Linked DNA regions of Caenorhabditis elegans. The protein of the gene in region 1 interacts with the protein of each later gene in a pairwise test. Each region holds a gene or a part of one and is shown on either strand. Other genes may lie near its edges.

Region 1 (3,605 bases):
TATTGGATTTGGAGTCTGTCAAAAAAGAAACTAGTGATATGAAAAAGCAACAAGAGACTCAGATTTTGAAGAGACAAGACGAATATCACGACGAGATGAAGCAAGAATTTCAAAAAATCCAGGCAACTCAAAATAAATTGATCGAAGATTTGATGTCGGAATTGAAGACTGTCAAAAATGAGACTAATGATATGAAAAGGAATCTCAGGAGAAATCGATGAATGATCTTCTTATCAGGAATTCGGATAAAAATCTGGAAATGATGTTGAAAATTCAGGAAGGTCAAAATCAAATGATGATGAAGATTATGCAAAGATCAGCTGTGCATGACGTCCCAATTGAAACTGGAGAATTGGCAAAGAATGTCTCATTTTTTTATATTTTTGTTTACTGGTCCGATTCGCATGGCACATTAGCGTCTGGAAACTATCGAAATCTTTGGGTGCGCGGATCGGACACAATTCGACAAGTCAAACTGACCATCAATTCACTTGCAAACGTAGATATCAGCTCGTTCAGAATGGTGCTTCGTGGTTGCTTGGTTGCAAAATAGCTGTAAAATGAAATTTGCATTTCAGATAAAGTTCTCGAAGACGACCACACTCTCGCCTACTACAACATTCAAGAAGGCTCAACACTCGGTCTTTTCTCCCCTTAAATTCTAATTTTTATCGACTTTTTCTCTAAAAGAATGTATAAAGTTCCCATCTGCCATTATGTAAATAAATAATTTTTGACAACAATTTTTTGGATGTTTTTATCGCAAACAACGTTTTCAACAATCATTCGGATATTTGATTTGTTCAAAACAAAAAATGCAAAAAAAAAACAATTTTTTATGCGCGTATTTTCAGGTGCATAGTCCGCAAACACGTTACGTACTCCGCCACCTACCGTAATTCCCTGTGAAAAATTATCTGAAAATTTTTCTTGTTTTTTGGTTCTTGTCGAGTTTTTTGAGAATTTCCAATTATTTTGCGAGTTTTTTTTCGAATTTACTTGAAAAATTATGGAAATTAACGAAAATTATCAAAAAATGTGTGTTTTCTAGATTAAAAAATGTCAGAGCCAAACAATTTGATGTCCGAATTCCAAAAGCTCTGCGCTGAAACTTCGAGAATACAGAATGAGTTCAGAGAGGTTTAATTAACTAACTAACAATTTTAAAAATCAATTTATTTTTCCAGATACCCAGCTCTGCGGGGAATGCACTGCTCAAGGACACTCAGGAGATGTGCCAGAAGATTTTGAAGAAACAAGACGAACTTCACGATGAGATGAAGCATGTTCAGGAAAGCTTGATGTCGGAGTTGAATTCTGTGAAGAATGAGCTGAAGCATGCGAAATCGATTAATGATCTTATTGCAAAGAATGCTGATAAAAATCTGGAAACTTTGCTGAAAATTCAAAAAACTCAAGATCAAATTATGATGAAGCTTCTGGAAGGAGACGCTATGGAGAAGATGGGAGGACTAGTTTTGAAAAATATCCCAGACGAGCCTGAAAAGCCTGAAAAGCCTGAAAAGCCTGAAAATGAAAATTTCTCGCTCAACATCAGTCCAGCTGCGTGGAGAGTGGACTGTTTACACCACCGGCAAACTCTACCCGCTTCTGGTTCGCGAATCGGATACAATTCGTATTATTAAACTGCGTTTCAACACTCTCGCAAGAATGTTGTATGTGGATACCAGCTCGTTCAGAATGCTCATTGATGGTTTGTTTCTAGCCGGAAAACTTTAAAATTTACAATATCCCATTTCAGATAAAGTTCTCGAAGACGACCACACTCTCGCCTACTACAACATCCAAGAAGGCTCAACACTCGGCCTTTTCTCCCGTTAAATTCTAATTTTTATCGATTTTCCCTTGAAAAAATGTAAAAAATGTATTGTTCCCTTGTCATTTTGCGAATAAACAATTATTAACTAGAATTTAGATGATTTTTCACTAAAAAAAACATTCATTTCAGGTTTAGAATTAATTCCAATAAAAAAAGACAAATTTTTATGCGCGTAGTTTCAAGTGCAAAGTCTGCAAACACGTTGCGTACTTCATAGTCTACCGTAGTTTTCAGCTTTTTTTTGGTTTTTTTAAAAGTTTTTATTGTTTTTTCAGCGAAAATCCTTGAAAACTTCGATTTTTCCTGGGATATTTCCACATATTTCCTTCAAAAAACACATTATTCTCCAGAAAATGGCCGATTCGAACGATTTGATGTCGGAATTTCAGAAGCTTCAACAGGAAACTTCCAAAATTCAATCACATCTCACCAAGGTTATTATTTTTTTATTTTTAAAAACAAATTTACAAATCTCACATTTCAGGATTTCCTCTCAAGCTCCGCTAAGCTTTCGGAAAATCGTGTCCTTCAGGCCACCCAGGAGCTTTGTGGAAAATTGACGGAAAAACAAAAAGTTCAGGATGATACGATTAACTTGTTGCTCTCGGCGCTCGGCCAAATCCAGGAAAATCAAAATAAGATTTTGAATCAATTTGCATCAATGCAAAGTCAGCTGGATATTGTAAAACGCCGTCAGGATGCTTATGAGCGGGATTTAATCCAACAAAAACCTTCAGTTCCGGAGCAAAAAGTCGGTGAATCGTCGAAAAAGTCTCCGAGATCTGCAGAATCAGCTCTGAAATATGTGGAGACATGCACCAAAGTTGTAGATCTTTGTATTGCCGTTTCAATGCCTGGAAGGCTCTTCTCCATTGGAGCCAATAAAATGGAATCCGTTGAACAGTTGAAAATGAAAATCGAATGCCAAACGGGAATTCCACGCACAAAATTTTGGCTCAGACTTCACGGTTGGTTTTTCAAATTAGACTTATTTTTAATAAATGTTTTTCTTATTTTCAGGCAAACCTCTCTACGACGACAAGAAGCTCGCCGACTACAAATGGGATACCAGTGTTGAACTGCTAGTTCGTGCTTCCTAATTAATATTTTTACGAATTACTAATCTGTATCATTATGTGTTCCTTTTTTTTGAATGAATAATGATCTGAAATTGCGACCTTGTAAAATTAAATGGTGAAATGTTGAGAAAAAACAGATTGGTGACTAGAAAGGGCACTTCTGCTGGAATCGATGTGTTCAATAAAAATTCGCCATGTTCCCTGCAAGCGAATTTATTGCGCAAACGAGAAAGATTGCCGGTAGCAGGTCTCGACAAGACAAAATTTTGCTAAATTCAAAAAAGATGTGCGCCTTTAAAGAGTACTGTAGTTCTAAACTTTCGTCAATGCGGATATTTCATCTATTTTTCGCTATTTTTCAATTTAAAAAGTGTGAATTTATTGAAAAACACAAATATATTTTTTTTAAAGAATCGTGGTAAAAACTGTAAAATCAATTTAAATTCCACAACAATGAAGTCTGAAACTACAGTAATCTTTAAAGGCGCACACCTTTTCGCATTCAACAAAATTTTGTCGTGTCGAGACCGGGTTCCTTATTTTCGTTTTTTTTTTCGGATACGTGTGGATTTACGCAGTTTGTGTACTCCTCGAGGACAAGTTTGCTCATTTTTTTGTGCATTTTACAGTTTTTCGTAAACTACTTGGTTTAGGACCATTTTTGCAATTTTTTCCATTTATAACCA
Region 2 (3,968 bases), 870 kb from region 1:
GGCGAAAAATTCAGATTTAGCCGGATTTCGCTATTTTTTCCAAAAAAAAAAAACGAAAAAATCAGTTTTTTATGAAAGAACATAGGAAAAATATAATTTTTTTCCTGAAAAAGTTCGAAAAATTTTAAGCCATTTTTCGAAAAATCGAAGTTTTTTTCGGAAAGTAGGGGAAAAAATCGATTTTTCAGAAAATATCCTAAAATTTTGGTCATTTTCAAATTTTTAAAATACTTTCTCTAATTTATTCTTCAAAAATTTAAATTTTATGGTTACTATTTCCTGAAAAAAAATTAAAAACCCTCCATTTTTCATTGCAAAACTGCTTTTTTCCCACATTTTCGAGCTCCATTCCCACCAATTTACCCCATATTTTCAGCTATATCGCACCCGACATTGCCACAAAACTTCCAAATCTCAAAACTCTTGCACTGACCAACAACAACATTTGCGAGCTCGGAGACATTGAGCCACTGGCAGAATGCAAGAAGCTCGAGTACGTGACATTTATCGGAAATCCGATAACTCACAAGGACAATTATCGGATGTATATGATCTACAAGCTGCCGACGGTTCGAGTGATTGACTTCAATCGAGTCAGACTGACAGAACGTGAAGCTGCGAAGAAGATGTTCAAAGGAAAAAGTGGAAAGAAGGCGAGAGATGCGATTCAGAAGAGTGTTCATACAGAAGATCCATCAGAAATTGAACCAAATGAGAATAGTTCGGGTGGAGGTGCTCGGCTTACTGATGAAGATCGGGAGAAGATCAAGGAAGCGATCAAGAATGCCAAGTCACTCAGTGAAGTCAACTATCTTCAGTCGATTCTGGCATCGGGAAAGGTTCCGGAAAAGGGATGGAATCGTCAGATGGATCAGAATGGTGCCGATGGGGAAGCGATGGAGTCTTGAAAAATCTTGAAAATTGCAGAATGTGCTGCTAAAATTTATTTATTTATTTTATTTGATTTTTTTAATGTTAAAATGATACTCCTTGTTTTATTTATATTCTCATTTTTTTCCAATTTTTTCCCAGTCTGTCTTCCCTTTTTTTGTAATTTTTATATACCATAAAACAATATTTCCCCTATTATTTTTGATATTTTTATCGATTTTTCAAAGGTTCCCCGTGCCTTTTTATATTTGATTTTTTGAAATTTTTGCAACAAAAAGTTAGAAAAAAATCCTTTTTCAGCCATTTTTGTGTTTTCCGGCTATTTTTTATTATTTTATTAATTTTGAGAGGTTCCCACTGGGAACTTCCCAGCGCCTTCAAATATCTATTTGGAAAAAAAAGGTTTAAAAATTGGAAAAAACGCGGATTTTTTTTTGAATTCTCGCCTAAAATAATCCATTTTTTGTGTTTTTTTGTCATTTTTCCGCAAAAAAAAAACTTCAAAACCCTTAAAAAAATGCGTTAAAACTCTAAAATTACCCTAAAAATCGATAATTTTAGACTTTTTTTTTCACAAAAACTATCGATTTTTGGCTAATTTTAGAGTTTTCAACTTTTTTTGCTGAAAAATGACTGAAAATGTGACAATGAAAAACCGATAAAAAAAGCCGGAAAATACAAAAATGTAGAAAATCGGTGAGAAATTCAAAAATAAATCGGCTTTCACTAGTTTTTTTGCAAAATATTTTGAAAAATCTTTTTTTTTCAATTATAAAAATTTTTTTTGGTCAGTTTTGGCAAAAAAAACCAAAAAAAAACTGGCTCTCTACCATTAAAACAATTATTTTCAAAAAATCCACAACTTCCAGATGTCGGCCGCTCAAACCGCCGCCGCCACTCCAGCCGAGCAAGAAGAGCAACGAAAAGTCGTCGAAAAGTTCAAGGCTCTACGTGATCAACAACAGGATATCGCCGCCGAAGTGACTCGAATCGAAGAGGAACGACGTGAATTTGGACGTGTTCTCGAAGTGATCAAGGATCTTGAACCGGATCAGAAATGCTTCCGTTTGATTAGTGATACACTTGTCGAGTATACTGTCAAGGATGTTATTCCGGATTTGCAGAATAATATCGCTAATGTGAGGATTTGAAAGTCGGGAAAAATAGAAGAAAAGGCGGAGGAAACAGTCATGTGTCGATTTACGGAGTTTGTGTACTCCTCGTGGAGAAGATTTTACAGATTCCGGCTGAAATACCTGATTTTCGACCTTTTTTCTATATTTAACGCGTTTTAAATTGGGGATTTACAGTATTTCCGATGAAAATTGACAGTTTTTTGAAGCAAAAAAAAATATTTTTTCATCTGAAACACTGAATTTTCCGATTTGTTGCACCAAAAATACGGTATCTGGAAGCTATGCGCCTTCAAGGAGTACTGTAATTTGAAATTTGTGGAATTTATATTGATTTTCCGTAGTTTTTCGATAAAACACTTCAATTTTAACAAATCGAATGAAAAAATATAAACAAATCGATGGAAACTTTGCAAATTCGGGTACTCTTTAAAGGTGCGCAGCGTCATGTATTCGAAACAAATGTCGTGTCGAGATCAGACATCGTAGTTTTAGCGCAAAATTTCGCGTTTTTACACCTAAAAATTGAAAAAAAAAACCAGATTTTCCGTTTTTTTTATAGCGAAACCCCCAATTTGCGCTGGGAAATACTGTAAAAATACGATTTTAATATGGTTAAATACAAAAAATTGAAAAAAAAAACAGACTTCTCCTCGTGGAGTACACGAGCTGCGTAAATCGACACAAGACCATGATTTCACAGCCATTTTGCCATTTTTAATGCGAAAATTCATTGAAAATCAGTGTCAAAACATGGAAAATTAACGGTTTAATCTTAAAATAACAGTAATTTCAACGAAAATATTTGAGAAAACGGTCAAAAATGGTCTGAAAGTTGAATTTTGTTCAACTTTCAGGCAATTTTTGAGCTCTATCTTGGATATTTCGATTGAAAATAGTGTAATTTAAAGAGAAATCGAGTGATTTTCTATATTTTGTCACAAATTTTCAGCAGAAAAACATGGTGCAACTGACCAGAATTACCGAAAATAATAAAATTTTGCAGTTGACAATCGTCTCGAAGCAGCTCAACGATCAGCTCGTCGAAAAGGGAAAAGAGCTGAACACTCACAAAACTACACACAACATTCGTCTGCTCACTGAGAAAGAATCTGCCGAGCTGAGAAAAGCTGAAGCTCTTGGACAATTGCCAAAAGCTTAAATTTCCCCTGCTTTAATTTTTTTCTCGATTTCCTACTGCTTTTTCATGTTTTCATACGTTTTTTCTTACTCTGTTTGTTGCCTTTTTTCTATATGCTCCCGTTAAAAGAACTTAAGTCTTGCATAAATTGAATTTGAATTTTTTTTCGATTTTTAACTGCTTTATTATGGTTTTTGAAATCCAATTTTATCTTTTTTTTTTTGAAAAAAAAAACATTTTTTGGTTTAATAAGTTTTTTTTCCAAATTTCGATATTTTCCCCGTTATTCAACAAAATTCATCGATTTTTTCATCGTTTTCACATTTTCAGAATTTTTTTTCGAAAAAAACTGAAAAAGTAGCCTAAAACCGATAATTTAACATTCAATCATATTTTTTGCGAAAAAAATTGAAAAAAAAACTATTTTTCAAGTTTGTCATTTTTTGATTGATTACTAACTTAAAAAATGGTTTTTTTTTTCAAATTTTTTCCCATAAAAAGTATAATTTAATGTTAAACTATCGATTTTTAGGGTACTTTTACAGTTTTTTGAGAAAAAATGTCTGGAAAAATGGGAAACCATGTTTCAAATTATAAAAAACTGCAAAAAGTGAAGAAAAATCAATAAATTTAGTCAAAAAACTCAACAAAAAAAGTTTTAAAAATTCGAACTTTCTCAATTTTTTTAGAAAAATGAAAAAAATATCGATTTTTCGAACAAAAAATCGAGAAAAAAGAAGAAATTATGGAAAAAATGAAATTCTTTCAAAAAAGTCGGAAAATTAATTGGAAATTATGGAAAT

What was found.
Region 2: the proteins of C16C8.11 (region 1) and pfd-2 interact in a two-hybrid assay, tested with the Caenorhabditis elegans proteins (one large-scale study listed by BioGRID).

Annotation. Positions count from the first base shown.
Region 1 is NC_003280.10:3,451,672-3,455,276, forward strand, and holds C16C8.11 (Ubiquitin-like domain-containing protein), read left to right. Parts: upstream 1-2,036; 5' UTR 2,037-2,193; coding exon 2,194-2,274; intron 2,275-2,324; coding exon 2,325-2,808; intron 2,809-2,860; coding exon 2,861-2,940; 3' UTR 2,941-3,017; downstream 3,018-3,605. Other genes in the region: gldi-6 (Ubiquitin-like domain-containing protein), read left to right, coding at 1-221; C16C8.12 (SKA2 domain-containing protein), read left to right, coding at 1,060-1,140, 1,188-1,646.
Region 2 is NC_003280.10:4,324,960-4,328,927, forward strand, and holds pfd-2 (Prefoldin subunit 2), read left to right. Parts: upstream 1-1,760; coding exon 1,761-2,030; intron 2,031-3,030; coding exon 3,031-3,186; 3' UTR 3,187-3,325; downstream 3,326-3,968. Other genes in the region: mog-2 (putative U2 small nuclear ribonucleoprotein A'), read left to right, coding at 377-908. UniProt on the Caenorhabditis elegans protein: Binds specifically to cytosolic chaperonin (c-CPN) and transfers target proteins to it. Binds to nascent polypeptide chain and promotes folding in an environment in which there are many competing pathways for nonnative proteins.